Mus musculus: one gene and its partners. The protein of the gene in region 4 interacts with the protein of the main gene of each other region in a pairwise test. Links are inferred from orthologs where the notes say so. Each region holds a gene or a part of one and is shown on either strand. Other genes may lie near its edges. The genes, in order: Fabp1, Rflna, Myoz1, Flna, Pelo, Hspb7 and Casr.

Region 1 (3,490 bases), on a different chromosome or scaffold from region 4:
AAAGAGAAGGGAGGGCGGGGTTTCTCCTGATTGGTTCATGACAAGGGTTGGGGTGTCAGTTTTACTACAGCCCTTTTTCAATGTCCACTGTAGAAGCAGATATTTGATGTCTTTTGCTCTTGATTAGGATTCTCCCCTCCATCCCTCTCTTACTTCCTTTCCTTTCATTCTTTTCCCCCCTTTAGCATTTTGCCATGTAGCCCATACTAGCCTCAAACCCAGCATGCTCCTGCCTCACGAGTGCTGGAAAGCCTTAAAGTACTGTGCCCAGCCATGATTCTATTTACTACTGTCCTTGATGTATACAGCTTGGAATTGGCACTACAATAGAAAGAAAGAAAGAAAGAAAGAAAGAAAGAAAGAAAGAAAGAAAGAAAGAAGGAAAGGAAGGAAGGAAGAGAGAAAGGAAGAAAGAAAGACTCAGTAACCACCGAAGTAAAATGAATTCCCACCCCCACCCCCAGCTGCTGATGATTGGAGTTTTTCTACCTCCTCCCTCTACAAGCTTGAGAAATGGGATTTTATATTTTATTTTCAGATTTTTCCCCCAGGGCAGAACCACTTAGGTAAGCTTGACATTTTCTTTCATTCATAAATATGCCCTATTTCCATTTAGCACCAAAGAACTGGAGAGGGACAGGACATTTGATTCCTTGTCAGTTGATACCATGCAGGGAACCAACTTCATTAGCTTCATTGCCAGGCCTTTGCTCACGGGCCACCCTCTGTCTTCCCTGCAGGCAGTCGTCAAGCTGGAAGGTGACAATAAAATGGTGACAACTTTCAAAGGCATAAAGTCCGTGACTGAACTCAATGGAGACACAATCACCAATGTAAGTTGACCCTCTGGTCTTGCCATCCAGTGCTTGAGGTGAACGGTACGGTGTGTTTGTGTGAGTGTGTGTGTGTGTGTGTGTGTGTGTGAAGGATAAGAGACAGCTGGATGCCATCTCTCATTCTTCACCCTTTCCCCCCAAGACCTGGACTCTCTCTTCCTTGCCTCTTGTCAATGTCTTCTACCACCTAAGAGGATGCATATGTACTACGGAGTTGATAGATATCAGATCTATTGAACAACACTTTTCTAATCGGAGAAAGTAAGGCAGAGACCAGAAGAGCAGGTCGAATGGCAGCATCAGGGTTTCCTGGCCTGGGTCTGTCTCTTAGGCTAATCTCACAGCAGTTCATTACTCAAGCAAACCCCAAGGGAGGCTGTTTACACTATAGACAGTGAGGATTGCACTCAGGACACCTGCAGCCATCTTGTTCTTGTCAAATCACGGCAGAATATCAGGGTGATTCCCTGACACATAGAAGAGCGGTATCTTGAGGGAGGGGCACCCTTTTCTAATTCACCTGGTGTCTCACACCTTCTTGTGCTCCACTTTCAGAGTCAGCCACTCCCCTGCCTCTGCCTCTCTCCTCCTTGTCCACTCCCTGGCCTTACCCTTTTCCCAGCAGCAGCAAACGGGATGGGTGAGGAGGTGTGTGGTGTGCTGAGGCACAGGACAGCATGTGCAGAGCATAGCTGGCCTTGCCCTGTTTCTGCGGCCATGGGGCCTCACACCTCACACTCAGGCCATAGGACAGAAGTCCATTCAACCCAGAGATGTCCCAGACTTCACTGTGTCTGCAGACATCCTGTCCAGGAGGCCTCACGACTGAAGTTGCAGCAGCACTTCCCATCGATGAAAACCTCCACAAGGGAGGCTTTGTATGTCCATCGATGTTCCTATTTGATGACATCAGAGTGATTAACAGCCTTAGCACTAACCAATGGGCCACACAGCCATCCATCTTCCACAGCCCAGGTGCCTAATAAACACCTCTGCCCACTTGGCATTGGTGTGGAGTCATTCATTTATCAAGTTTATGGCTGCTAATGAATGACACGCTGGGTATGCACTCCCGTGCAGTCATCCTCCATGCCCAGCTGTTGGTCATGTATTGCCCCCGCTACAGTAATTCATAGTGTTTCTCTCATGGTCAGGTCTTCCAGCTTTCCTTTGTATCCAAAATGCACCTCAGTCAGGTCACAGAAGGCAAACCCCTGTCTAAGTGACCGCATCTGGTCAAGTGAAAATCCCCCTGCACCGTGGAGAGAGGGGGGCATCAATCAGGAAACAACATTCACGCCCCACACTCTTGCCCCTCACTCCTACAAAAGAGCAGGTGTGTTCAGTGTTCTCGTGTGCTCATTCACACCGTCCATACAGTAAGAGGGAAGTAGATAGCACCTACTACGTTCCAGCCTAGTGGCCCACTGTACATATGCTTGTGTTCAGCCACAGGTAGTTAATGTGCAGGAAATCTCAATGAAATTTTGAAAGACAGCTCTCCCTCCATATGAACAAGAGAAGTGAGGAGACCCAGCATGCTATTCTAGAAAAGGTTGCCAATCGCGCCTCAGCTCCGAGAGAAAATGGGGATTTTTCAAGTTGTTTAATATGTCAGCACATTTGGGACTATTTGGGGCGGTTACTTTTTGTTTGTTTGTTTGTTTGTTTTACAATTCATCATCAAGAAAATATTTCATAATTTCTCTTTTGACTTTCAGACCATGACATTGGGCGACATTGTCTACAAGAGAGTCAGCAAGAGAATTTAGACAAGGCTATATTTCATATTCTTTTACAGTGTAAAATTAATACAATAAAGTTACCTTTCTTTTGGAATAACTTCTCCTTGATGGCTTCTCATTGTGGTGCTGTTGTTTTTATTTTATTGGTGTGTGTGTGTGTGTGTGTGTGTGTGTGTGTGTGTGTGTGTTGGGAATTGAACCCAAGGTCTCACACATAAACTCTATCACTGAGTATAACCCAAACCCTGTTGTTTTCAGTGATCCTTGATCACCGATAATTTTTTAAAATTATAATCTGTGTACATCACTCCATATATTCAGATCTGTAGTTTAATTTCACCCTGAATACAGATTTCCAACTCATGTGTCCTAGTCAGGAATGTTAAGAGTGGCCAGATCTGTAGAGTGTCCAGTGGACCTTTTGCCTGTCAGCCACATGGGCAAGAAACTGGAACAAGAGGGTATTCAGGACTCTGAGAGAGTCCCTGCATAAGGACAGGGATCCGGAAGACCAAACTGTCAAGGGGGAGCCACTGCCGCCGTGAGCACAGCCACAAATGGCCATCCAGCAGTGGACAAGCTCTAAACGGTTGGGCACTCAACTACCAAATTAACATCTTTTTCTTTTATTGGAGGGCTTAATGTACAGATGTGGCACAGGTGTAATTCCTCCCACAACATGGACAGAAGCAAAAAGCAGAAAATGGAAGCAACTCTCTGAAATCTACATTGTCCCAAACTACTAGGGGTTTGATATGAGTTTAACAGCAGGCAGCAGAAATCTACACATTGAAATCCTAGTGCCCAGCAACTCAGAATATGGCCTTATTTGGAAACAAAATTACTGCTGCTGTCTAAGGCCATAGAATAATATGGTAGGCTTCTAATTCAATAAGGCCAATATCCTTT
Region 2 (4,846 bases), on a different chromosome or scaffold from region 4:
ATTCCAGAGAGGACTGCCACCAATTTTATTCTGTGAAAGACAGCAACCATTTCTAGCTAAAGGGCCCTGGGTGAGGTTTCTTGTGGGTTCCATTTGGGCAGCCAAAACCCCAAGATCATTCCTACATGACAGATCTGGGCCGTATGCTTTTCTAATAACGGGGCTCAGCCTGCCGCTCCACTGTGACAGCCTCTGGGGCCAGCTTGCTCTCTTCTGCCATGGGGCCTTGTACCCTGCTATTCCCTTGACCTGCAATTCTGTTCAAGTGCTGCTTCCTCTGAGAGGCCCTCCCTGATTGACCGGCACAACTGCCTCTGATTTCTTTCCCCCTGAGGACTTGGCCAACCTACAGAGGAGGACACACCTCTAGGGGCCACTCTGAAGCTGGGGTCCCTCCCTCTCTTCAGCAGACATGGGGTAGATGGCCTAGCAGGGGATCACTTGTCTCCTTTGCTATATGCCATCCTGACATCTTCATAAATAATCTGCAGGTGTCTGGGCCTCTGTGTCCAGATGCAAGGCTGGAGGCAGGTGGTGGGTGGGATGCTCTTCAGTCCCTGCCAGCAAAGCAGGCAGAATGGGAACCATGTGTTCAGCTCTGGTGGTCAAGTGAGACGGGGTGGAGGCATAACTTTGTCCCCAAGTGAGACCTTTTAGAGCAGTGGTTCTCAAACTGTGGGTCGAGACCCACCTCCCTTGCAGGAAGGTGGAACGCCCCTAAGACCATCGGAAAACAGGTGTTTATATTATGGTTCATAACTGTAGCAAAATTACGCTTCGGAAGTAGCGACAAAAATCATTTCATGTTTGGGAGTCACCACAAGGGAAACCCCTGACAAAAGTAGGTGTTGGGGGCATCTGGAAGTGTCCCCGCTCCCCTCCCCCCTCCCCACTTTTGGGCAACTTCCTAACCATCTCTGTAGTTCAGTTTCCTCCAGAAAATGGAGAGCGTCTGCAAGCAGGCACTCACAGGCCGACTGGGAGGATTAAACAGAGACAGGAGGGCTGGCCAAGGGAATGCCAGCTACACATCAGGTGTCCTTCATTCCCCGCGCCCAAGTGGCCCCAGGCTTCCCTGTCCAGACGAATTCACCGAAGCAAATGGAGATGAGCACTTTGGTGGCCCCTAGGGCAGATCTTGACCCTGGGTTCTTAGATCATTCGGTCCCTCACTGTAAATACACCGCCCCACCCCCATCCCCAACCCACAGGTAGCTGAAGGTGCTTTTCTTGGAGACTCAAGCCAGGTGAGGGACGCTGCAACCTGCAATGGCCCGGCTGATGGCTGAGCGTCCTTGCTGAGGTGGCTGTGGACCCAAGTCAGCACCACGGAGGGTGGGTGGGTGGGTGGGGGCAGTGACTTTTGCAGGCTGGAGACTTTGCAGTCCTCACCCTGCCCTGGCCCAGTGGGTGGCCAGGGGGGCGGGAGCGAGAGGCGCGGGCGGAGGAGGGCGGGGAGGGGGCGGTGCCTGGGAAAGGAGGCTCAGCTGGCGGCTGGAGGCATTTGCATCAGGAGCGGGTCTCAGCTGGAGCCACAGGCCGGAGCCTCCTTGTTGCTCCTCTGGCTCAGTGGTGGCGGGGACCCGAGCTGCTGGGGCCCACGCCCCGCGCCCGCCAGTCATGGTGGGTCACCTGCATCTGCAGGCCATGGGGGACACGCGGGAGCAGAGCCGCGACGGCTTGCTGGACAGTCCCGATTCAGGACTGCCCCCCAGTCCCAGTCCTAGCCCGCCCTTCTACGCCCTGTCGCCAGGCACCCTGGACACCCGGACCACCACTGAAGCTCCAGCGGTAAGACCTGGGAATTGGGCAGTGGGAGGGCCGTTCAGAAGCCAGCATGGTCTCATCCCTCTTCTGAGGCAGACGTGGAGTGGCACCCGACTCACCAGGACCTGTAGGCTGGAAGTTTCGGGGTGATTGCTGTCAGGCAGGAATACAGAGTAGTATCCCGATGCCCCAAACTCTACAGACTTACAAGGGGGGCCTGTTGTGGCTATCTGTCCGTGGGTCCCGTCGCTGCTGCCACCGCCTCCTACCTTATTGACCTCCCAGGGCTTCTCAATGGAGGCATTTTTTGCAAACCCAGCTCGGGTCGAGAGCCTCCGTAGGTTTCGTCTTATAGGTGTAGAAGTGGAACTGTCCCCGGAGCTGGGACTCTAGGGGTTGGACACTCTGCCCAGGTTGCTCTGGCGACGGGGCAGAGGGAGCAACTTGAAGAAAGGAGTGGTGGAACAGAGCAGAGGTTGAACATGGCCCTGTGGCTTGATGGCCTCGGCCGGGTGTGTTAAGGACTCTCCCGCCAAGGTGTGCGTGCAGGGCGGCGCTGGAAGCATTTGAGGCTCCAAGCCACGTCCAGCATCCTCCTCCAGACATTTGACCCGATCCAGGGCACAATGTGGTTGTCGGAACTTTTCTTTAAATCTCCCCAGGTGACTCAAACATGCAAGGAAGTTTGAAGCCTGTCTTGAATTGAACTTCTGTGTCTCTTTTGGGAGGGTGGGTGGAGCAATCAAGGACTTTAGAAGTTAATATAATCGAGCAATGCTGTTCTTAGGGAGGGGGGAAAAAACTAGGAACCTCAATATGGATGTGATGGGGGAAGAAATTCCAGGGAACATTTTTGGGGATGGAAAGAAGGCACCAGGAAGAGGTCGCTTCGATTCCCTGTGACCCCGAAGCCTCCTTCTGCAGGGCATTCAGGATACTTCCCATGCCTTCTGGGTCAGCCAGAGGCAGTAGTGAGAATAGCTCTGCTGCTGTTACTGCTGCCTTTCCTGGCTAAGTAGGCGCCAGCTATGGAGCTATACTGCCCTGGTCTGTGACTTTGTCTGGGCAGGGAAGCCTGGGGGCTATTACTCAACGACACCTGGTAGATGACATTTCCCTCAAGCCAGGGATGGGTCTCCCCACTTCTGTTTAGTCCTCACAGTCTGTGAATGCTTGCTTGCTTGCTTGCCTTTGTTCCTCATGTTCTGGAGTCAGTCGAGGCGCAGAGATGGTTAGGAAGTTACCCAAAGTTGCCCAGCAGAATTGACCCCAGGAACCTGGCTCCAGTGCACATTTAAATCTGCCCTGGTTTTCACTGTGTAGTGCGTTAACGGCTTCTTGACTATTTAAGCAGAGAAATTAAATGTGTAGCCATAGGGTCCAGGTCATCAAGAGAGGAGGTAGTAGCCATGGCAACCCCTCCTCAGGTTTGGGGGTCCAGTTGTGGCCCCGCCCACTTGCCTATCTACCAGTTCCTACCCACAAGGGTCCCCACCTTCTTGAGTTCCATTCCTTCCCTACTGTATCATCTAAGTGCCAGCATCCTGGTCCCCTCTGAGGCCCTAACTCTGAGGCCTAGGTATAGGCAGGCTGACAGTTGCCAATCAACTGGTTGGTCTACTGTGTGGGATAAAAGAAGGATGCCCACATCTTGGGGAGCCAGTTTCAACTGGAAGAAGCTATTGGAAGGTGGTCAGGTGTCCCCTGGTGTCCTTACATAGCACCATCGTACTAGTGGGGAGCTACGGTCACCTTCACTGTGTGACACGGAGCCAGGAGTGAATGGCTACCATGTATGTAAGATTGACTGCTACAGACAGTCAGGGAATGACGCTGCAGAAGCCAAGGGTAAATCAGGGAGTGGATTTTAGGCAGATGGGGCGACAAACTTGTCTCAGTCTAAGAGGACGGCACATGCCAATGTCCTGTGGTAGAGCTTTAGAGAAGAGGAGGAGAATCTGGGCCAGGCTCTGCTAGGCTGAGGCTGAAAGCTAATGCTTTGTTTTTGTTTTGTTTTGTTTTTTAAAAAAACAGTACCATGAGCGCCCAGGACCCCCAAATTAGAAGCCTCTTTCAGAGATGTAACTGGAAAGTAGCCGTGTGTGTGTGTGTGTGTGTGTGTGTGTGTGCCTGTGTTGCCCTCCCACGTGGCCCCAGGAGAGCAAGATGTATTGGCTGGAATGGGGGCTGTTTGCCTGCCACCTTCACCCCAAGAATGCTCAGCCGTCCAGGCAGGACTGAGACGAAAGCAAACTGACCCTGGCTCTGCCACCCTGGTCTCCCAAGTTGGATTTCTGTGCCAGATGATAAACACCAGGTGCCCCCGCCCCCAATACTTCCATCACAGAGCTGTGGTGTGTGGGGCAGACATGGCGGGAAGCCAGGTCCTGCTGGCTGAGAACAGGTCTGTGTCAGAAACAGGCTCCAAACACTAGACAAGCAGTTTGGGCACTGCCCCCTCCCCTGCCCCCGGGCACCCCTCCTCATCTAGTTTTATGGCCCACAGGGGACTATGGGTGACTTTTGGGATCTGACCAGGGCAGCTCTCTAGGTATTTGCTTAGACCACAGCCCCTTCTATATGTGTGTGGGGTGGGGTGGGGGCGGGGCTCACTGTTGAATGACAGGGGGTGACAAGAAGCAGAGTGGGTTAGACTCTGCCTCCCCAGGGTCTCCTGGTTGATTCATAAGAAAACCTGGCTTCAGGACAGGATAGAGAGCTGCTGATGACAGGCTGGACTATCAGGAAGGGCTGTTCCCTCCCACCTCCCCCCGAGTGGGCCCTGGTCCAAGCGGAGAGGGAGGGGCATGGTAGATATGACTACTTTGGGGGCCTTCTGATGTGTTTTATAAAAATGAAAAAAGAGCCAAGGGTATGTTTGGTGGAGCAAAGAAGTATGTTGAGGTGGGAAGAGTGCCTCTGCGAGCCCATGCTGAGGCATCCCTTCCCACTGAGGGACCAGCCACAATGGGTATAGTGTAGAATAGAGTTTATTTAGGGCGTGGGAGTTGAGAAGGGAGGAGAGAGGTGGGGGGAGGCTGGCCAGGAACATGTGGAGAGGGAGGGGATGGGGAATGGA
Region 3 (4,839 bases), on a different chromosome or scaffold from region 4:
CAGGAAGATGGGGATAGATCAGGGAGTTCACAGAGGGCAGGGCTCATTCTGGAAGCCTCAGAAGCTGCTTCCTGTGAAGAATGGGAGCAAGGAAGGGTTGTGAGTGTGAGTGTGAACAATCCAATGGCACATGTGTAAAAATGTCATAAGGATTTTTGAGACAAGGTTTTCCTGTATAGCTCTGGGACTTAAGAGATCCACCTGCCGGTGCTTTAGGGGTGTTGAGATTAAAGGCATACATCACTATGCTGGGCTCAAGAAACCTATAGTTTCATATGTTTACTAAATTACACCCATGCCCACCCACCCCCAAAAGCCAATTCCTTAGGCAGCCGTATAAGAGTAAAAGGTACAGGAGCAAGCTGGTTTCAGGACATGAGTGGGAGATGAGGGAGGATCCAGGGTATTGCTTCAGCTCTCACCCTTCCTAATGCTGTGACCTTTGAATACAGTACCTCATGTTGTGTTGACCTGCAACCATAAAATTACTGCTATCATCATCATTTTAAAAATTTATTTATAGTATGTATATGAGTACACCATTGCTCTCCTTGGACACACCAGAAGAGGGCATCAGACCCCATTGCAGATGGTTGTGAGCCATCATGTGGTTGCTGGGAATTGAACTCAAGACCTCTGGAAGAGCATTCAGTGCTCTTAACCACTAAGCCATCTCTCCAGCCCCTATTATTATTATTATTAGTAGTAGTAGTAGTAGTAATTATTATTATTATTATTATTATTATTATTATTATTATTATTATTATTTTGAGACAGGGTTTCTCTGTGTAGCCTTGGCTGTCTTGGAACTCACTTTGTAGACCAGGCTAGCCTGGAACTCAGGGATCTACCTGTCTCTACCTCTCAAGTGCTAGGATTAAAGGTGTGCACCACCCACCATGCTTGGCATCATAAAATTATTTTTGTTGCTACTTCATAACTGTAATTTTGCTACTGTTATGAATTATAATGTAAATATCTATATTTGAGATATCTGACATTGACCCCTATGAAAGGGTTGTTTGACCCCCCATGGGGGTCAGGACCCACAGGTTGAGAGTACCCACGGGCCTTTGTAAGATCATCTGCACTAGGGTTCACTAAGTTGGTTCCTCACCCTGTCAAGATCTAACCCTCTTAGACAGAAAGCCAACCTATTCAGGAAGTTAGAAGCAATGCCACTGTGAAAATTTCCATCCTATCTTCAACTTAGGGCTTTAATCCCTCCCACCCACAAATACACTCATGGGTCCCCTCCAGCCCTGGCCTGGAATGGCCCTGAGTAGCCCACAATTCATGTTTTCTGTTTTGTTTTTTCCTATACCTACTCTTAATTCTTACCCACCACTATCTGCTCCCTCTCGGCCTCCTGAAATGCTTCTTTGGAGAAAGAAGGCAAGGAGGAGGCACACCCCTTCGGCTGACTGATCCCTGGCTCAGACAGTCTGGTGGGAACATTTTGTAGCCCTGTTTCCCTCTTCCTGAACCTCAGGCAAAGAGGGCAGGCTCTCGGTTCCAGGGTCTCAGTACCCCCTGTGCCATTTGAGCTGCTTGTGTTCATCAACTCTATTAATAACCTCCTCCCTCCCCCACTGCCGGTGCTGCCCCTACGCTCGCTCGCCCCGGCTCAGGTTCTCTAGTCACTGCAGCTTAGTCCTCCGAAGCTGCTGGACCCCGGGGAGAGCCGACCACCAACTGAGCAGCTGGTAAGTCTATGGTTCTATCTACCGGAAGAAGGGGCTGGAGCCCACTCTTCTGAGCTCCTTGTTTGCAACTGTGATTCTCCATCCTCAGGGAATGGTCTCTCTTCTCATCTCTGCTCAGCTGCCAACAGTCCAGTTGGAGTTACAGAGTTGGAAAGAAAGGGACCTAAGGAGTTGGGAGGAATTAAGATATGTGGGGAGGTACCTGACAGATGGGAAAGGGTGCTTTGGAATGCCACTAAGTTGGTAGAGTGTGGTTGTGTTTGTGAGACAGGACACCACGGAAAATAGCAGGGCTGTTAGGGAGAGGATGGTGTGCATACATTTTCTTATCTTGTCGCCATCCACGGCCAGATCTTATTCCTGTGTTTCTGTTCCCCCCACAATTCTCTACTTCCACGTACTATATTGCTGAGCTGACATCTGCCACAGCTCAAATGCCCTTAGCTAGCTCTCTGCTCCAGCCCTGAACCTTGGGATCGGAGTGCCTGAAGGAACAAGGAACATACCCATGACCTCTCGGGCCACGTTCCAGCTGGCCTCCTGGAAGATCAACAACCTCTCCTTCCTATGGAGAAGGTTTCGTCTGAATCTCAACACTAATTAGCAGAACATTGCTTTACGCCCATGGACCCCAAGGGAAGCCTAAGGAGGAGACTAGAGTCTGGAGCCACAGTTGTAGTCTGATATCCCGATACAAATAAGGACTTTAAGTCACGCCAGGCCCAGGAAGCCTGAGTGCATTGCTCTGCCAGTGTTGCTTTTGAAACCCCCTTCGGCCCTAGCTGTATTTCCGATGCCCACACAGGAGCTATGGAAAGTGGACACAGCCCTTGGTAAGAGATAAGGAAAGGGTACAGTTCTTCCTCCTGTCCTGCTTCCAAAGAAAACAGAAGACTGTGACAGTTTACGTTCTGGGGAATACTAATTTCTGTAAAGACGTATGCATGCGTGCACACACACATGCAAACATGCACATGGAAAAAAAACTGAAGAAATTTTGTCCTTAATCCCAAGTGTACGGCTGTAGTGCGGATGCTCATTCTCCCACTCCATCTCTCCTTCCAGGTCAGATCCACCTCCACCATGCCACTCTCAGGAACCCCGGCCCCTAACAAGAGGAGGAAGTCAAGCAAACTGATTATGGAGCTCACTGGAGGTAGGGTGTGCGTGCTTGTAGAGCCCCAATGCAGGACTTTTAAGAGCATGCCTGACTCAAGAGTCCCAGAAATGATGTAAGACAGGATATAAGTCAGAGTGAAAAAAAAAAAAAAAAAAAAAAACAAGAGGAATTGCAGCTGTAGAGGGTGTGGGAGACGGGATGATGGGAGGGGTGAGAAGGGGCAGGAGAAAGACACAGGAAGAACTCAGCATCCACTCTGCATCCTCCCATCCTTCCCATTGATTACTCTGAGACAACACCCTGCTAAGATACTGGACATTTTAGCAGGACCCATAGTCAGTCAAGTCCTGTGAGAACACAGGCTAGGCCTCACCAAATGGTTAACTTCCTTATTTCTTTCTAAGTGTTAGGGAACTTGTGTAAGCATTTAAAATAGGAAACTACACAGCCACACTCCCTGGGGATGCGCACGAGTTGCCAAGTGTGAAGTTCCCCTGATACCTTTGGAGTGAGAGTTCACTGAAGAAAAAAAGAAAGGAAAGAAGAGCAGGATCTGTGTTTAGAGGTGTGAAGCTGCACGTGGGATTGGCCTATCAGCTTTCCCGGCCCAGGGTGTAATTTCTCCCTTGGCTACTGTCTGTGGTGTTCTCTTATTCTTGTTCTCCTTCACTCCACGCCCATGCCCCTTGGCTGGGTCACCTCTTCACTGAAGTATTCCAACCCTATATGTCATTCCCTTTGTTCCCCTGTACTGTCTCTACCTCCAAGCCAGGAAATCAAAACAAAACAAAACCACTTCTTATGGGCTACGAATGGTAGTGCATGCCTTTAATCCTAGCACTTAGGAGGTGGCAGAAGGAGCCGGGGCAGGGGGCAGGGGCAGGGGCAGGGGCAGGGGTAGGGAACAGGGGACAGAGGCAGGGGGAAGGGGGAAGGTGCAGAGGGAAGGGGACAGTGGGCAGGGAGATCTTGTGAGTTCAAGGCCAAATCAGTCTAATAGTGAATTCCAGGCCAGTCAGTGCTACATAATAAGACCTTGTCTCAAATACACACTCACTTACACACACACACACACACACACACACACACACACACACACACACTCTGAAGAGATGGTGAGATGACTCAGTGGTTAAGAACACTTGCTGCTCTTGCAGAGGATCCAGGTTCAGTCCCCAGCACATACAAGGTGGCTCGCAACCACCAGTAACTCCAGTGCCAGGGCATCTGAACCGTCTTCTCACCTCTATGGGCACTAGGCATGTATTTGGTACACATATATACATGCAGGCAAAACAGTCATAATATAAAACATAAATAGATTTTTGAAAAATCTTTTAAAAGACACACAAGACTAACAAAAACTTGTAAACCATACAGACCCGGTCAGCATCCGCTCCCTAAATGGTCTCTTTTAGAATATACTCAGCTGTGGGGGATGCTTCCCTTCCCAGTCCAGAAAGCCCTCATTTCCTCTTTCTATTGATTCTTCTCTACCTCCTGGATAAGGTGGCCGGGAGAGCTCAGGCCTGAACCTGGGCAAGAAGATCAGTGTCCCAAGGGATGTGATGTTGGAGGAGCTGTCCCTTCTTACCAACCGAGGCTCCAAGATGTTCAAGCTACGGCAGATGCGGGTGGAGAAATTTATCTATGAGAATCACCCCGATGTTTTCTCTGACAGCTCAATGGTGAGTATGGACGTCAACCACTCTTGGCAAAGCCCGGTGTCTTTCCCGGCAACTTCTCAGTAGCCCCCCAAATTCCCCAAATACCACCAACCTTCTCTCCATGAGAACTGAGGAGCTCTTTATAAGCTGCTACATATATTACATTCCCAACCAGTCTAGGGTGGGTAACAGTCCATTTCTGAAGCTTAGTCCTCATCCTAGAGCACGTGCAGGCATGAGGACCATACCCATAGGGAGAAAATTCCTTCCCAGTGTGGCTACGTGTTAAAATAGTGTCGCCAGATAAAACACGGGACACTCAGTCCTATATTTTGACGCTAAGATA
Region 4 (4,982 bases):
ACCACAGGCAATGAAGACACTCCAGGCTGTGGGAGAGTCAACCATATTTGGGCATGACATGTTGGTCAACCCAAGGCCTCTTTCAGCCACTGGTCTTTATCTATCTATCTATCTATCTATCTATCTATCTATCTAATTAATTTTATGTGCATAATTTTGCCTGCATTCATGTCTGTGTGAAGGTGTCATATTCCCTGGAGCTAGAGTTACAGACAGTTGTAAGCTTTCATATGGGTGCTGGGAATTGAATCTGGGTCCTCTGAAAGAGCAGCCACTGCTCTTAACCACAGAGCCATCTCTCCAGCCCCGGCGGCCACTGGTCTTAGAATTGAGAAGTAGGGACAGAAGCCTGTCTTTCTGGAAAAACAATTTAACATTCTGGAGAGGCTTGAAGTACAGAGTAAGTAGATGGAAAAGTCTACCACGGGAAAGACATAGGTAAGATGAATCCCCTTAACTAAAGAGGATGGTTGGGAGTATCCCCTACAGTTTTCTTTTTCTGTATCTTCGCTCCTTTCTGTCCCAGCACAGCATCCTCATCACTATCTCCAGAGAATATCTATCATTAAATTAACTTTTAGTGAGTAGCTTCACACTACTTAGGGAACACACTCAGGCTCCTTAGCAAGCCTTGATGTCTGGTGACTCTCCTTTCTTCAGTAATCTGGGACCCTCTCCCTGAGCCCCTCCACATCTCTAGGGTCACAGCAAGGCTTGGGACTGTTCAGCCAGAGAAGACCTCTCCCCCCAGAATTCCTCAGGGCCCAAGGTAGAACAGTGAGTATGGCAGGTACAAGGTGTACAGATCTACATGCATCACAGGGCAGGCAGGCAGGCAGGCAGGCAGGCGCCCTCTGATTGTGTGCATTGGCATACCCTGGACCTTTGGAAAGCTGCTTGATCCTGTAGTGCTGGTGGCCACTTGGCCCAGTGCTGGCCCCATTTCCTCGCGGATGGAACTAGGCAGTAGAGAAGACGACGGTGGGAATGGGCCTGTGCAGGTGTGCAGGCCAGGGTCATGGAGACTGGGAAGACCAAAGGAGATGGGTAGGGAGTGCCAGGGCTCTGTGGGTGTCTATGTTAGGTGATGAGAGCCCTGTCTGACAGCATACAAAGAGCTCTCAGCAGCGTTAGGCGCTCTGGAAGGGTTCGCTCACAGGATTGCTTTACTCTGCTGTGGATCACACTGTGGCTGAGAACCCTAAGCTCGGGAAGAATAGAGAATGTAGAAGAGGGTACAGGGTCAGGGCGGAGCCCAAGTGATACCGGGACATTATTCGCTCCGCCTTCTGCAGGGACCTTGGGGAAAGAAAGTCCCTTGTAAGGGTGTGCCTGCTGGAGCTGAGCAATTCTGTGACAGAATTGCTCAAGCGTTCCTAGATCTGGGGTCCGTTTCCTGTAGTACTGTAGCGGATGTTGCCAGACCTTTTTGTGCTCTTTGGGGCTCAAAGACCCTTTCTGAAGCAGCGGGGCTGAGTTGCTTTTGGCGGAGTGCAGAGGCAGCTTCGGGGGATGGGGGCGGGGGGCGTTGTGGGGCATTCCAACGGGAGGGGCGAGGTGGGGCGGGCGCGGCCCAGAAGCCCCACCCAGAGGCTCCGCCCCCAAGGAAACTTTGCCTCTGGCTCCGCCTTTCGCATACATTTAAAGGGCTCGCTCTTTCCGCAGTGCAACCTCTGTTCTGTGCCTCGTCGTTCATGCTCGGAGGTGCCTACTGCTTTAATTAAAGGGCCGTCCCATCGGCGAAGCTGCAGCACCGCCCCTCCGTTCCTCGCGCCTCAAAATGAGTAGCTCTCACTCCCGCTGTGGCCAGAGTGCGGCGGTTGCGTCTCCGGGAGGCAGTATCGATTCACGGGACGCGGAGATGCCGGCTACCGAAAAAGACCTAGCAGAAGATGCACCGTGGAAGAAAATTCAGCAGAACACATTCACCCGCTGGTGCAATGAGCACCTTAAGTGCGTAAGCAAGCGCATCGCCAATCTGCAGACGGACCTGAGCGATGGGTTGCGGCTCATCGCGCTGCTCGAGGTACTCAGCCAGAAGAAAATGCACCGCAAGCACAACCAAAGACCCACTTTCCGCCAGATGCAGCTCGAAAATGTGTCGGTGGCGCTTGAATTCCTGGACCGTGAGAGCATCAAGCTCGTGTCCATAGGTGAGGGCACGGGCTACACTGGGGCGCTGAGTGGGTGCGGGCGTGGTCGCAACAAATTCTTCCTTTCTTCTCCTCTAGAGTCTCTCCTAGTTGTCTTCCCTAGCTGCTGCACACAACCAAGGCTACCACTAGGCCCCTTAGCCGCCTTGTTCTTTGAGGTCCTCGAGAACAAAAGGCTGGCCTGGCGAGCATGCGAACCGCTACGCGCCCCCGCCCGCAGCGCCTTGCTGGCCTGCTCCCAGGCTGAGCTCACATCCTCTGTAGGCCGCGCCCCCAACGCTGCACCCGAGGTGGGACAGGCACAGACTAGGCTTCTGCCTCTGAGAGCCGCACCCCATCCCTGGGATACCCATGCTTTCCACCTACAACAATTTTAAAAGTACCCTTCTAGCATTTGGCTGCCTCTGCAGTTCTAAAGTGAAGGTTGTAGCTTGTTCTCCTATTTATGTAGGACTCCCTCAACTTCTTGCCCTGGAACATGCTTCCCCATTGGAGATAGTTCAAATCCCCAGTTTCTTTCTTTCTTTCTTTCTTTTTTTGCTGAACTTGGAGGGGGGCAAAGAGATATACTGCTGGCAAAACTGTACTCCAGGTGTAATGAGTGTGGTTGACTAAAGGCACGAGCACTTGGTTGTTAGCTTTGCTGTCTATCATGGATCAAATTCTTGTTTCATTGTAAACCTTGGTTTTGTACATCTAGAATGCAGAGATTGGTTGAAAGGTGCTCCAATGTGCACAGGGTTTACTGCTAGTCCAGTTCCCAAGTCTTTGAACTGGAGAGGTTGGCATTGGTATTGTCTCTTGCAGGATCCCATGCTTTTCTCAAAGTAGGGGCTGCTCATGGACAGGCACCAGAATTGTTATCTTGGGAATGTGGAACAGGGAGAGTAGAAGAGTGGACCTTTACTCCATAATACAAAGGGTTTTCTATTATCCTTACAACTTTGGAATGGTACATGCTAGTTAAAACAGCGAGGGACCAAGGCCCTTCAGAGAGCAGATTTTAAGTGCTGAGTTTTTTTTTTTTTTTAAATGCTCATAGAGGTGTGCCAGTGGATGTATGAAAACTCACCCCTAGTCCCAGCCTCAGTCTAGCCAGCTGAGTCATTTCTAAGTCTTGGAAGGGGGCAACCGGATGTGGGGAGGCAGGCCACACCCCAGCTCTTTAGGGGGGGTCTCCTCCCTCCTTCTTTCTCCCCTCCTTCTTGTGAGCTGGCTGGAGCAGGCCTAGTTCCCAGAGCTTTGCCATATAAGGCAAAAAAATGTTGGAAAGCAGCAGTGATTAGGGGAGGGAGGGGGCCGGCTGGCCCAGGGGCTGGGGATAAGGGGTGGGATGGGGCGGGGCCATCTTACCAAGCTGCTTCCCAACACTGGGCCCTGATCCTCTCCTCTTGGGAGGGATATGAAGCTGGCATAGCTCACCTAATCAGACCAGGGGAGGGACCAGATGTACCTTACTGGGATGATGGGTCTGTCTTTGTTCTTCCCCTTGGAGACTACTAAGGACCTATGATCTCCTTGGGGGTTTTTGTGATGGGCCTGTGGCTTTGTTTGGTAGGGTAGGATCTTTGTGTCCTTGACTTTTTTTCAACTTCCTTTCCCATCCTCTCTGTATTTTGGAACAATGAAAAACATTCTCGAAGGGCCAGGACCAGTTTGTGAATGGGAAAGATCACTCTGTTTGAGAGGCTCAGATAGCAGTTCTCCAGGTGCTTTCCCACTGCACTGGAATGTTACCTGCTCTCTCAGTGATATCCTAGTTTTCATGACCATTCTCCATTGACTCACTAGATAAACATTCTCTGATTACAGGGAAGTCCTGTAGGGTTTCCAAAGATGAGCCTTAGAAAATGCTACTCACCATAAGCCATCCACCCTTGAGGAGGTTAAAGAGGTGGCTTTGGGTGGGGCTCAGGGGAGTTGCCATAGTGATGGGTGTTTAGGGTGCCCGCCCTAACCACTTCCTTTGTGGTAAGCCTGGTGGCTGCCTGAGACCTAGCCCGTTAGGTGGCAAGTAGGCTGGGTGGTGAGTAGCATCTAAGCAGGTTATGCTGAAACAGCAGGACTTAAGAACACCACCCAAGGCCTCTGCAACAGGGGTTCCCAAGTGCTCTTTGGCACCAAAGGCAGGCTAACCCAGCCTACTAAGGACCTATGGTTTCCTTGGCGGTTCTACTCTTCCTCTTTCAGCTGGGCAATGGGGGCTGTCACCCCAGAAGTTCCCTATAAGCCTCAATGAGTCAGAACTAAACATAGTTCCTTTGACTTGTGGCCCCCTTCCCCAAGCTAGCCCTCTTTTGTTCCACCTCCTATTTACTAGTTTGGGGGTAGAGAGACAAGGAAGTAGCAAAGGGTGGAGCTCGCACCCTTTTACACAAGGATCCTTGCCAACACTTCCTCTGTCTTTTCCCCCACTCTGGAGCAGCAGTTGTATTTCCTAACTACTCTTTGCCAACTTAGCCTTCCTCTTCTTTGGTTCCAACCCAGCTTGAGGTCAGGGGCCCTGTTTCTTGGCCAGTTAGGGCTGAGCCACTTCTCCCAATTCCCATAGATCTCAAGATATTAGGGCAGGTCTTGATCTCAGCAGCTGTACAGCATCCATCTCACTTGCTCTTCCACCCTCCTTCTGGGCTTTGCGGTTTTTGGCAGGGTCCCTTTTATTGGATTGTATTATGTGTCTATGGGAGTCTTTCCCCCCCAAACTCTCCTTTATCACAAAATATTTTCTTACACCATTTAGATGCCCTGGGCAGAGGGTGCCTGATCCACTTTCTACCCCTAGTTGGGAGGGGCCTCTTGTCACCTAATTGATTTGCTGTGCTGCAGACC
Region 5 (4,276 bases), on a different chromosome or scaffold from region 4:
TAACAGATGTAGAAATAAATGCACTCAGTTTTTAAAAGTAAAATCCAAATGAATGATTACCTAAGTTTGGTAGAAACAAAATTATGTGCTGAAGAATGTAATGACTTTAAGGTGTGGGGGAGGGGTCAAGGCATTCCAAACCTTCTAGGTTGATTCCAGTGAACAGGCAAAGCTGTCAATCAAAGGAAGCAGCAGGGGCTAACAGCACATAGCTTGCCTTGGCAGAGAGGGTTATGTATATAGGACGGATTGTTCATGGTGGTAGTGGGTGGGGCTAATCCGGCCTGGCTCTGAATGCCAGTTACATGATTTTGAGAACATTTGTTAACTTCCTCCTAACTTCGTTTTATTTATTTATTTATTTATTTATTTATTGTTTCAAATTAGGGTAGCATTTTCCTTATAAGAGTGAGAAAGTGCTTGAGAAATTTTCAAAAGTTGACAGTATTTCAGGGAAAACCTTTCATTCATTAAGAGTCCAGGAAGGTCTACTTTCTTGCTTTAGTGAGACCCGTGCCTGGTTCGGTGAAAGGCTTTAGAGGAACAAAGCAATGTGAGTTAGAGGCTCTGTGATAAGAAGATGGTAAATTAGATGGGAGGGGGGTGCGGAGTGGGGGGAGAGAGGATACAAAGCAAGTTAAGGTGCAAATTTATACTGGAGTCTTGGACAACCACCACCACCCCCGCAACACACACCAACCTCTAAGAAAGATGGCTGACATCAGTTAACACGATTAACCCTCCCTTTAACCTCCTCTCCTCAATTAAGGCTCTGCTTTAAAATCCTTACACAAAACGCAGTGAGCGAGCCTAAGTGGTCAGGATTTCTCTGCTCCCCCCACTGTCTTCATTCAGAAAGAGACTTCTCTGTATTTCCATCGCCACTGTACCAAAGGGGATGGGAGAAACGGAATGGATTTTTGTTTATTTGTTTTTCTTTTTCTTTTCTTTTCCTTTACAACCAACTCTTTGGCTCTTCTTTTGGGGTGGTCATATTAGATTAGCTTATCTTTACTTCCCATATCCTCAACTTTTGGCTAGTCAGTGGCAGGGAAGATCGAGCGCTAATCTACTGCAGTCCGGCTCCCACACTGAACGCCTCAGAGACTACTGCGCTGAGTCGGCCAACTTTGGATTCTGGGATTCCCAGGACATCAATCAGGTCAAGCTACATAGAGGTCCACCAGGGGTACATTCCACGCATTCCACTGCTCTCTCTGGGCTCTGTCCTTTAACATCTGGGTTAACTGGATCGTGCAAACAGGGTAACAGGCGCAGAAAACAGCTGGACACGTTGCTGAGCCCAGACTGTACGTGACTAGTTCTTAGAAACCGCTTCTGGATCTCTCTGAGCCAACAAGCTCGTCGGTCTGAGTGCTGGTAGGGAAAGAGCGAGCAAAGCCAGGCAGAGTTTGAACTTCGCCGGGGATGGGGGGGGCAAGTCTGAACTTTTGAGGGCGCTTTTCACTTTTATATAAGTTCTGAAGCTGGCTTCACGCTAAGGTGCAGAATGATAAATCCAGCTTAAATACATATGTTTGCATTCACGTACTTGGCATGTGCTCGCACACAGGGATGTGCCGGGAAAAGCTTAGCTTTTCAGAGCGCTGACCGCCTCCTTTGACGTTTATCTAGGGCGAGCCTTTCCTTTTACTGCGCCTGCGTGCGCGCGCCGCCGACAGGCCCCGCCTCTCTGGTAGGGACCCACAACAGACTTGCGCCGGGAGGCGGGCTGCGCCTGCGCGATCGCCGCGTCAGCCGGTTTCGCGGGGCCGGCGACTGGAAGTCCCGAGAGTTGACTCGTGCTGAGCGTGAGGTTTGCCGCGCCGCGCGTGGGCCAGCGCGCGGAGACTTGAGAAAAAGCGTGGGGTAAAAGTGCTGTCCCGAGCTGCAAGAGTTAGAGGTAGTGTTTCCTTCCGGGCCTGAGCCCGCCGCCCCTTCCCTGCCCCGGCCCCCCCTCCTGGGGACACCCCCCCCCCCCCTAGCGTCCCCTGTTCTGAACTGAGCCCCTGCTGAGGTCATGAAGCTCGTGAGGAAGGATATCGAGAAGGACAATGCGGGCCAGGTCACCCTCGTCCCCGAGGAGCCCGAGGACATGTGGCACACCTTCAATTTAGTGCAGGTGGGCGACAGCCTGCGCGCCTCCACCATCCGCAAGGTCCAGACCGAGTCCTCCACAGGCAGCGTGGGGAGCAACCGTGTCCGCACCACCCTCACCCTTTGCGTGGAGGCCATCGACTTCGACTCCCAGGCCTGCCAGCTGCGGGTGAAGGGGACCAATATCCAAGAGAATGAGTATGTCAAGATGGGGGCTTACCACACCATCGAACTGGAGCCCAACCGCCAGTTCACCCTGGCCAAGAAACAGTGGGACAGTGTGGTTCTGGAACGCATCGAGCAGGCTTGCGACCCGGCGTGGAGCGCTGATGTGGCAGCTGTGGTCATGCAGGAGGGCCTGGCCCACGTCTGCTTAGTCACGCCCAGCATGACCCTTACCCGGGCCAAGGTGGAGGTGAACATCCCCAGGAAACGGAAAGGCAACTGCTCCCAGCATGACCGGGCCCTGGAGCGGTTCTATGAACAGGTGGTCCAGGCCATCCAGCGCCACATAAACTTCGAGGTTGTAAAGTGCGTTCTGGTGGCCAGCCCTGGATTCGTGCGAGAGCAGTTCTGCGATTACATGTTTCAGCAAGCTGTGAAGACGGACAATAAAGTGCTCCTGGAAAACCGCTCCAAATTCCTTCAGGTAAAAATCTTACCCAGAGAGAGTTTCCTAATGTTTTAGAATGGGGAGGAGCCGAAGGCTTGGCTGGGACTATAAATGAGATTGTAACTGAACCCTGCAGTATCTAGCACTTTAAAAAGTTGTCCAAGTCCTTAAACAGGTTAGGCCTTATTCATGTGTTTGTCAAATGTCATCGTGGGCTGATTAATGGATACTTTCAGAGATTCTTTGTCTTTTATAATTGTGATTCTAGGTGCACGCCTCCTCTGGACACAAGTACTCCCTGAAAGAGGCCCTCTGCGACCCTACTGTAGCGAGCCGCCTTTCAGACACAAAGGCAGCGGGCGAAGTAAAAGCCTTGGATGACTTCTACAAAATGTTACAGCACGAGCCCGACCGAGCGTTCTATGGACTCAAGCAGGTGGAGAGGGCCAACGAAGCCTTGGCCATAGACACTTTGCTCATCAGTGACGAGCTCTTCCGGCATCAGGATGTGGCCACCCGGAGCCGGTATGTCAGGCTAGTGGACAGTGTGAAGGAGAATGCGGGCACCGTAAGGATATTCTCTAGTCTCCATGTGTCGGGGGAACAGCTGGGCCAGCTGACGGGAGTAGCCGCCATTCTCCGCTTCCCAGTGCCAGAACTTTCTGACCAAGAGGATGATTCAAGTTCTGAAGAGGATTAAGACTGGCAGTTAATAGTTTCTTCCCTGGTTTTCTCAGCATCCTTGGCAGGTGCCAGAGCAGCACTTGTTGATCCTGCTGGGGTTTCTTGTGTGTTGGGTTCACATTAAGTGTTTTATGATTTGGTGGGCAGGACATGTATTCAAATTAAATAAATCACGACGATGTCCAAGCTTATGTTTTCTAGTTCGAGTTACTGTTTTTTAAATACCTGGAAACAGCAACTTGTGTAGTTAAGAGAAAAAAAAAAAAAAAGAAAGGCTGTTTGAGGGTTTGATGATGAAACCCCACATACCAACTTTTCTTGGTTTTCCTCCTAAAAGGCTTTTATCTCTTTTGATGTTTATTTCCATTCGACTTGGTGTTTCCGAATTTCATTTCATGCTCCACTTTTTTTCACCTCTTTCTAGCTTCCCCCTCCCCTCCCTCACCCTTCCCCCCTCCCCCCCCCCCCCCCGCAAGATTTTGACTACATTCACGATTTGAAGTGGTAGCCAAACAGTAAATAAAGCCAGTCTAAATGTTATTTTCTTTCAGGGATTTGTTAAACATCATTTTAAAGATCTGCTTGTTGCTCTTTGTGGTTCTAATCTATTTTCTGTAGAGAAATTATTTTCAGACAGTAGAGGTTTGATCTCCTAGACATCTCAGCATAGTCTCATCAGGCCTCTACAGCTGAGGTGAGAGTGTGGCTTGCTTACTGTGTGGCTGATGAATGGGGAAACTGGACGTTTCTTGACATGGAAATGGTACCATATCTTCCTGTGTTTTATTTACTATGGCTTGTCAGTGTTAAATGTTCCCAGGGTGCCTGTGGCATTAGTCTGTGCGCTCATGTTCTTACTGGACTATGCTATATTTGAAGAAA
Region 6 (3,066 bases), on a different chromosome or scaffold from region 4:
CCCTGATTTATGTTCCTTCCCTGTCTGTACCCAGGGTAAACTACAGCCCTTTCCCAGTGGGCTCACGGGCCAGGGACCTTTACAGTCCCTCTCCAACCTAAGGGTCACAGAACCTGTCTTTGGGGACCATGCCATGGCACCTGAGGACCCTCTAGGGATGGGCAAGGGATCCTGGGATGAGGTCAGAGAGGAACCTGAGTGATGGAGATGTAAGGGGGGTGAGGAGATGAGGACAGTCACCATGGTGGAAAGTGACCACGGTGCAGGAGGGACAGCTCCCTGGCACAGGGTAGAGGAGGTGGCAATGACACACCCAACCTGGGCAACACGGTCCATTCCTACCACATCTCTACCTCGCCTTCATCCCAGAGCCAAAAGTCTGGGTCCTGTCGTGGCACCTCCATACTGGGACTGAGGCTGAGCAGAAAGCCCTGAAGCTGAGTCACAACCACCCTCCACCTCATGTACCTTACCCGGAGTCTCAGGGTACCTAGATCATCAGAGGAGCACGGCCAGCAGCTATCCCAGCTCTTAAGCCTGTGCTTAAGGATATTCTTAAATATTCTTAGAGGATATTTATCAACACCTTCCTGCCACCCCCAAGCCTGGCTAGCTCTCCTAACTCAGGCTGGACACTGGGAAACCCTGCCAGGGGTTCGAGGACTGCGCCACTGGCCGCACGTGCCAGCCCCACATCCCAAGAGTGACTCAGCCAGCCAGCTCCACTGAACACTATGTGCTGGGCTGCTCGTGGGGGAGGGCAGGGGCCCTGATGTGGACACTCAGGGTGCCTGGGGAGCCAGAGGGCACAGCTGTGTCATCTCCCCACTATGGCTCAAGAATCTCAGACTTCCAGTCACTGCTGTGGAAGCTCAACCCTTATTGAGCCCCACCCAGCCCCATCCTATACCCAGCTTCCCTGGGGACCCCTAGAAGGCCTCTGAGTCCCTCTGCACAGCCCTGGGATCCTGGGCACCCCAACACCCCTGGCCAGATCTTTTGTACCCTGATAGCTGAACCCCTCATCACACAGTGGGGTAACTGAAGACAGAGAGCAAAGACGAGACTCTGGCTTGATTTTGGGGTGAGGCTAAGGCTAGGGCAGCCATTCCTGACCTGTCATCTGTCCCCCAGCTGGCAGCTGATGGCACAGTCATGAACACCTTTGCTCACAAGTGCCAACTACCAGAGGATGTGGACCCAACATCGGTGACCTCGGCCCTTCGAGAGGATGGTAGCCTCACCATCCGGGCGCGGCGCCACCCCCACACAGAACATGTCCAGCAGACCTTCCGGACTGAGATAAAAATCTGAGGGTCTCTCCACCCCTGGCCTCCCCCTTATCTCCTCCCCCACTGGCCTGCCGGTGAGGTCACCATGATCCCTGACAATGACCCCTCAGAACATCTCAGCCTAGGCCCCAGTCACTCCACACACTCTCAGGCCCCAGGTGGGTCACCCCTGCCCCAAACTAGGGCATCCCTCTCCATCCAACGCAGTCCAGGGACCTGTCTGCTCTCACCCAGATAGACCCTCCCTATCTAAGTTCACAATAGAGGGGCTGAGGTACCAACCTGGAGAGCAAGACGAGGGCAGAGTCTAACACAGAGTGGCGGCTTCAATGGCATTTCTGCAGGGCAGGGGACCAGAAGCCCCTTCCTGGCAAATGAGAGGCTGGCCACAAGCAGGGCTTCTGGCCTAGGTAGACTGCCTCAGGGAAGCCAGAGAGATAGCCATGACTGTTACCTTCCTTGTAACTCTCGAAACCTCAAACCCAGGGCTACCTGTCACCCTGAGGCTCTAACAGCTACATGTACCAGACAAAGACACCTGTACCTAGATGGGGTTTATTAAAATGACATGAGGCTCCTATCTCCAGCTGCTGGTGCATGAGGCCAGAGCCCAGGGCTCCTGGGTGGCTTCCCCTGCAGAGAGGGTCCTCTTTGGAAGTGAGAGGAAGAGCCAGGACTTGTACACACACACACACACACACACACACACACACACACACACACACACACACACACACACACACACACACACGCGCGCGCGCGCGCGCGCCATTGTCCTATGCCTTAAATACTCATTCCCACTGGTTGGAGCCCAATTCAAAGCATTCTAAGAGTCACAGTTAGCATCTCTGTTTTCATCAATGGAGACTGGCGTCTCTGAGCCAGTTGGATGCCCAGGTTTGTCTCTGAAGCCAGCGCTGCCTCAGCGGCTCTCAGACTCTCCCCTCTGTGTACTGGGGACACTTCCCCCCCATTCCACCTCTCCTGAGCCACATGCCCTGCTTCGCCCTAACTGCAGATGGTGGCCACAAGAAGAACCCCAAACCAGATCTCTTCTGGCCCCCAAATTCAGGGCAAAAACCCTTGTCAGCCTTAACCCTGGGGGACCTGGGCTCTGACTCAGTCTCTGCGTGTAGAATCGGGTGTAAAGGGGGAAGCTCACTGCTAATCGGGGTCCCAGGGGCCTCTACAGTCTTAGGACCCTGTGGAGGAGGGGGTGGGGTGGGGTCGTGGGAGTCTAGTCTATAACCTGTACACAATAAAAGGACAATATGACAGACTTGTGGAGACCCCACCTGAAGTTCGACCTAGGAGGAGGGACGGAGTGGATGGGGAGGACTTCTCGGCTGGGGAAGGAAGCTTAAAGTTTCCATGTGTGGGAGAGGTATCCTATTCTCAAACCCGCTTGCAGAAATCCCCGCGATTTTCTTCAAAAACGCTTACAGCACCTGTCTCCAGGCTGCCTGCCCTTCGCTTTGAATTCATTCTTTAGTTCAAGAGGAATGTCTGAGCTGGACTCAGCCAGCACTGTGTTCTGCACTGTCACAAGCCAAGGGCTACAAACGTAGCCTTTCTCCTGGATGAAGCCTCGGAGGCCCAGAGAAGCTAAGTGATTGGCCCAAGCTCACACAGCTCCGAAGATACAACCAATTGGAATCAGGGGGTAGGGCCGCTGCAGGGTGGGGTGCTGGATAGATGTAGGCTTGGCGTGTTCTGGGTGGAGGGGGGTCCCCTCGCTCCTTACCCACCCCCCAGCCCCAGGAGCTACTGAAAT
Region 7 (4,968 bases), on a different chromosome or scaffold from region 4:
TTAGGAGCTGTTGCCTAGCAAAGGCTCTGAGGGAGAGTCAAGCTCTGTTGTTAAATCAAAAGATTAGCAAACCTTAGGGAGGTGTAAAGATAAATAGCACAAAAATCATCCTTCCTCCTTGACCTAATCCACAGGAACAGAATTAGAAAAGATGCAACTTCTTTGACTGGTAAGACACTGTTCTTAGAGTCAGGGTCCCACGCTACTCAAAACCAAGCCCTGTGGAGGATGCATATTCATGCACGCTGTTCAGGTGGCCACGCCCTTCACGTATTCAAGCTGACTGAGGGTAAGCCTCAACTCTACAGCTTCATAGCTCTTCCATCCTCCATACCGTCACCTCCACGGGCTCCAGTCTCCCATGTAAAATGGGCATAGCAATTGCTCCTGGGAGTGTCACTTAACCAAACCCCAATTCAAACATTATTGGAGAGAATTAATACAACCTGATCATCTTGGGGTCTCTCTCTCAGCCGCTGGGTTGAATTATGCTGTCTGGTCCAAGCAACCATATTGTTGAGATTCCATGGTTGATTTCTCCCTGTTGTGGTTAGGAAACACTATCTCATACCAAACATCATGGGTCCCTGCCTCTTACAATCTTCCTCCCCTCCCCGATCTTTCATAATTTCCCATGAGCCTTAGGTGCAGTTGTTTTATGGCAGGTGTATCAGTTAGGGTTCTCCATAGTCCCTTATTTTCTGTATTGTGTAATGAACAGTCTCTATCTGTTGGGAAAAAACTCCCTCCCCCCTTTATTTTTTAAAAAAGAACTACACTTATCTGTAGAAACATGTCTGCCATGATATGAGTTCCCCTCTCAAACCTAAGACTTCTCTAAGCACAAGTAGTTAGGTTTATGGTACCAGGCATGAACTCATCCCTATGGAGGGAGTCTTAGTTGATTAGACAATTGATGTTTATCCCCATGATAAAAGTACCATTATTGGACTACTATGGATGTCTGGCTGAAATACTCATTGTGGTTCATAGGAATAAACACTATCTGTTCTAAGAAGACTGGGAGGCACCGAAGTCTCCATGCTTGCATTGTAACGGTTGGGTAGGATTCCATTAAGCCACACTACCTTAAGTTCTTTAACCTATTTCCTATTGGCAGGTTCGGTGTTGTTCACTTGTTGCTTTTATTTTGGTGTGTGTGTGTGTGTGTGTGTGTGTGTGTGTGTGTGTACACATTCATGTGTGCTGGCCTTTCACCTTACTCCAGAACAATGTCTGTGGCTTTATAAACACGTTAGCGCCTTAAGGTCTCCCATTTTGATGTAGGAGTCCTGGGATTGCAGACACGCTATGCAGCAGGTTTCGTATGGATCCCAGGAGCTTGAACGTAGCTCTCCTCTGTGCTTGATGGGCATAGCTATAACGCCATTGTTTAAATATTATTATTTTATGTTGAAAATGAACCTGTTATATATATTTGCATCGCAACATTATTTTATTCTGGAAATTACTACAAAGTACTGCAAAAATTGTTTTGGCTGTTTCTATTTGTTTAGTTTGTGTTCGTGTGTTCGTGTGTTCGTGTGTGTGTGTGTGTGTGTGTGTGTGTGTGTGTGTGTGTGTTGGCTATCAAATTGCCTACACAAAGGAGTTGATAGGCTTTAGGGCTGAAAAGCAAATGCTGGGTTTCTACCAAATAAATTGATTTTTCCATTTCATTCAAGTATTATGATGAGTGGCCAGCGCTGAGCCAGAGCCTGAGCACAACTGTGAGCCAGGCTGGCCTCTCCTACCTTCAAGAAGCACACCCTGATGCTGGGGCAAAGCTTACCAGATCTCTGGGGTAGTGGAGGGAGGGGGCTGTTTGTGTACAGCCCGCTGAAGCAACGCTGGAGTCTAGCAGAACGCCTAAGAGTGTTTATTATACTGTGAGTTCTGGATCTTTACTAGGAAAAAAGTGCCCCATCCTCTGGCACAGTTGCCTTGTGATCCTCTTTCCATCTCCAGGGAGGAGCGGGAAGCGTGTGTGCTGCGGGGAAGGAGGGGGTTGTATCTTCCCAGACCAACAGCAGGAGCAGGATCGGAAGCCTGGGATGGCTAGAGCCTCATCGCAGACAGGAGGACTCCAGCGCTAGACCTCGGTCTCTCAGGTACCAAACCCGACAGGTGGCCTAGGGGGAGGGACGTCGCGCCCGCAGCGCCGGAGCGCACAGCTCAAAGGCTGACCTGAGAGATCGAGGGAGCCTGGGAGATTCCAGGCGGGCTAGGGCACGGACTGTAAGTGTATTTGGAGGGATTTGGGGGCCATAGACCCCAGGAAGCACGCAGGCGAGAGCAGGCAAGGGGCGGAGCCCCGAACCGGGCCACAGTGGCCGTCAGAGGGTCTGCTGGGAGGCAGTGGCTTGACCCAAGGCGAACAGGGAACTTTAGAGGGTAGCACGCTACTCAAACAACTTAACTTGACATCGCAAGCCCGGCAGACTGGTACTGCATCCTGAGCTCAGCATCCAGCTGGTCCTGGGGAAACAGGGCCAGCAGGTGTTCCTGTGGAAAGAGCCACGACAAGGACTCCAGGTAGGACTTGGGGACACCAGAAGTGCGGGCATAACGTACCCGAGTGGCAGAGGAGGCTTTGATGAGGTTTGGGGGCAGCGAACAGTAGCAGGTCAGACCTGGGAGCCCTGAACGCTGGGCTTCAGGGATAGCGGATCGGATGCCTACAAAGATGAATAGAGTTCACAGTAAAAAAAAAAAGTGGGGTGTGTCTTGTGCCTCCGGTTTATTTATCCCTGTGACAGTCAAAGAGAACTTTTCCCACTGACAAGGAGAGAGGTAGCTTTCTGGCGCGGGCGTGTGTGTGTGTGTGTGTGTGTGTGTGTGTGTGTGTGTGTGTGTGTGCGCGCGCGCGCTGCCCTACCAAAGTACTTGCCTCAGTGGCTCCAAATTAGGGTGTCTGGTCACCAGCCTCCATATTCCTTGGAGGTAAAAAAAAAAAAAAGTAAGTTGATGGAGTTATTGTTTTGATATTGTAGTTTTTGATTAACAACACACACGGTAAACTTGGAAATAACACCAATGCATATCTAGAGACCAGTTTCCTTTCTAACATGAGTTTACTCATTGTGCTTTCTCTCTTCAGTTCTGAGTCTTTTATCTCCCTCCTTCCTCTCTTTCTCAGTATTCTGAGAAAGAGGCATGCTGGGGAAGAGCTCCTAACAAGTTCCCACCCGTTCTTCTCCAGGATTCCTCAGTGCAGTAAAGTGGTGCGGTTCACTGTTGGGGGAGGTGAAGGAGGGCTGTCTTGCCAAACTCTCTGCCGCCTAGAATTCATTCCCCCTCCCATTTGGACTCCAGGCTCCAGGTTCCCAAAGTGGCATGCTTGGGGTGTTCCCTCTGGAGGACTTGGAAAAGTGAGCTTTTAAATTGGCCCTGTGAACAGGGCAAGGCTTTGTGATAGGCAGAGAAAAAAAGAAAACACAAAGGAAGAAATCAGGGAGACCAGGGAACAGTGAGGGAGCAGGAGACCAACATCTTTGAGAGCAGAGGAACCCCGGGCCAGCCCCTGTCATTCAGGAGCTGACCCTGGGGAGTTTTGCTAAGGGAACACATGTGGTCTTCATGCTGATAACTCACATCATCAACTCTTTTCCATAATCAACGAATCAAACCATGTTTGTAGATTAAGACAGAGTAATTGGTCTTATTTTTTTTTACCGGTATAGGAGGTTCTTTAGAAGCTGTGTAAACTGTTTAAAGTAACCTCCATCTATGCCAGTGTCCCTTGTTTTCCTCATTTTTCCTTTGTTGAACTGGATCCTGCAAAGTTCAGGCATTAGCTGTTCCCTCTCCTGCAGACTTAAGGATGACGTTGTAACTAGAGAATGGATTGGGCTGGGTGCAGGTGCAAGGCTGATGAGGGGGTAGTGCATGACTTATAAACAGAGACACAAAAATGTAAAAAACATCAGTATTCACTTAACGTGTTTGTAGAGCCTAGCTACACACCAGATCCTGGGAACAAGATGGTCAATAAGACCAGACAAGGAACCTGCCCTCCTGGTGCTTACAGATGCTTGGGGGAGGGCAGCTGTCAGTAAAATGATTATCGACTATGTAATTGCAAGCTAACATAAACCCTCTGAGGGAAAGACACAAAGTCCACTGTGGGTGTACATAGATGGGTCTGTGAGACTTGGGAAGGCTTTCCCAACAGAGCTCACTGACCCTGAGGTTCTAGGGTGATCAGGATGAAGAAATCTGATTTTTGAGGTGAGGTCAGACCGTTTTGATTAGGAATAGCATTTGGCTGCTGGTCACCAAACAGACTGGCTGCTATGAAACTTTTGTCCCTTGATGTGTGTCCACGTGCTGTTGGTGTTACCGGCGTGAGGGGAAAGAGTGTCTTGTCGTCATAGGCTGGCTGTGTTGTCTGTTGGCCGTGGTTTTTTTCATTGCTATAATTCTTGCTTTTGAATGAAATGTTCAGATTAACTTAACTCCTATGATTTCATTTTATTGTGTACCATAAAATGTACACTGCTGTATAAATGTGAATCATGCACCTTCCCATTGAGAAGGTAAATACGGAGATAATACTTCTGCTGCTTATGTGGTGACAGTTTGGCGTTATCACTGAATAGCATCCCAGGTTAGAATAGCTGTGGCAGGTGGACTGCAAATATTGCCCCTCTATCCCTAGCTACTGCTCTCATTGGAAGGATGTGTCACACACACACACACACACACCCTGGGAACTAATTCCTAGCCTTGTATACTCGAAGCTCCAACTCTGCCTTGAGCCACAGCTTCAGCTTGTGTATTTCAGAAGAGAGGGGTATTTAAAAGATTTAGAGTTTTAGTTACTATAGATTTTCATAACCAGCTTTTTAGTAAAGGCAAATATATTGTAACATATTAACAATTGTGGTGACGCTGTAAATGAATAAAAGTCCCACAATGTAAGGTCACAGCACAGATACTCTAGAAAGCCGTGTGCTTCACGTTCGT

What was found.
Region 1: the proteins of Flna (region 4) and Fabp1 interact in binary tests that used the Homo sapiens proteins (3 or more experiments, as listed by UniProt). The two-hybrid records come from large-scale screens. The link is inferred for Mus musculus from reciprocal best matches to the Homo sapiens genes FLNA and FABP1.
Region 2: the proteins of Flna (region 4) and Rflna interact in a two-hybrid assay, tested with the Homo sapiens proteins (2 studies listed by BioGRID). The two-hybrid records come from large-scale screens. The link is inferred for Mus musculus from reciprocal best matches to the Homo sapiens genes FLNA and RFLNA.
Region 3: the proteins of Flna (region 4) and Myoz1 interact in binary tests that used the Homo sapiens proteins (3 or more experiments, as listed by UniProt). The link is inferred for Mus musculus from reciprocal best matches to the Homo sapiens genes FLNA and MYOZ1.
Region 5: the proteins of Flna (region 4) and Pelo interact in binary tests that used the Homo sapiens proteins (3 or more experiments, as listed by UniProt). The link is inferred for Mus musculus from reciprocal best matches to the Homo sapiens genes FLNA and PELO.
Region 6: the proteins of Flna (region 4) and Hspb7 interact in binary tests that used the Homo sapiens proteins (3 or more experiments, as listed by UniProt). The two-hybrid records come from large-scale screens. The link is inferred for Mus musculus from reciprocal best matches to the Homo sapiens genes FLNA and HSPB7.
Region 7: the proteins of Flna (region 4) and Casr interact in a two-hybrid assay, tested with the Homo sapiens proteins (2 studies listed by BioGRID). The link is inferred for Mus musculus from reciprocal best matches to the Homo sapiens genes FLNA and CASR.

The regions. Positions count from the first base shown.
Region 1 is NC_000072.6:71,202,347-71,205,836, forward strand, and holds the end of Fabp1 (fatty acid-binding protein, liver), read left to right. Parts: intron 1-740; coding exon 741-833; intron 834-2,557; coding exon 2,558-2,608; 3' UTR 2,609-2,688; downstream 2,689-3,490.
Region 2 is NC_000071.6:125,001,948-125,006,793, forward strand, and holds the start of Rflna (refilin-A), read left to right. Parts: upstream 1-1,500; 5' UTR 1,501-1,620; coding exon 1,621-1,791; intron 1,792-4,846. UniProt on the Homo sapiens protein: Involved in the regulation of the perinuclear actin network and nuclear shape through interaction with filamins. Plays an essential role in actin cytoskeleton formation in developing cartilaginous cells.
Region 3 is NC_000080.6:20,653,299-20,658,137, reverse strand, and holds the start of Myoz1 (myozenin-1), read left to right. Parts: upstream 1-1,597; 5' UTR 1,598-1,706; intron 1,707-2,771; 5' UTR 2,772-2,789; coding exon 2,790-2,862; intron 2,863-4,335; coding exon 4,336-4,514; intron 4,515-4,839. UniProt on the Homo sapiens protein: Myozenins may serve as intracellular binding proteins involved in linking Z-disk proteins such as alpha-actinin, gamma-filamin, TCAP/telethonin, LDB3/ZASP and localizing calcineurin signaling to the sarcomere.
Region 4 is NC_000086.7:74,243,235-74,248,216, reverse strand, and holds the start of Flna (filamin-A), read left to right. Parts: upstream 1-1,682; 5' UTR 1,683-1,780; coding exon 1,781-2,153; intron 2,154-4,982. UniProt on the Homo sapiens protein: Promotes orthogonal branching of actin filaments and links actin filaments to membrane glycoproteins. Anchors various transmembrane proteins to the actin cytoskeleton and serves as a scaffold for a wide range of cytoplasmic signaling proteins.
Region 5 is NC_000079.6:115,087,664-115,091,939, reverse strand, and holds Pelo (protein pelota homolog), read left to right. Parts: upstream 1-1,781; 5' UTR 1,782-2,020; coding exon 2,021-2,746; intron 2,747-2,978; coding exon 2,979-3,410; 3' UTR 3,411-3,585; downstream 3,586-4,276. UniProt on the Homo sapiens protein: Component of the Pelota-HBS1L complex, a complex that recognizes stalled ribosomes and triggers the No-Go Decay (NGD) pathway.
Region 6 is NC_000070.6:141,422,745-141,425,810, forward strand, and holds the end of Hspb7 (heat shock protein beta-7), read left to right. Parts: intron 1-1,134; coding exon 1,135-1,314; 3' UTR 1,315-2,566; downstream 2,567-3,066.
Region 7 is NC_000082.6:36,558,997-36,563,964, reverse strand, and holds the start of Casr (extracellular calcium-sensing receptor precursor), read left to right. Parts: upstream 1-1,830; 5' UTR 1,831-2,111; intron 2,112-2,162; exon of another isoform or gene 2,163-2,535; intron 2,536-4,968. UniProt on the Homo sapiens protein: G-protein-coupled receptor that senses changes in the extracellular concentration of calcium ions and plays a key role in maintaining calcium homeostasis.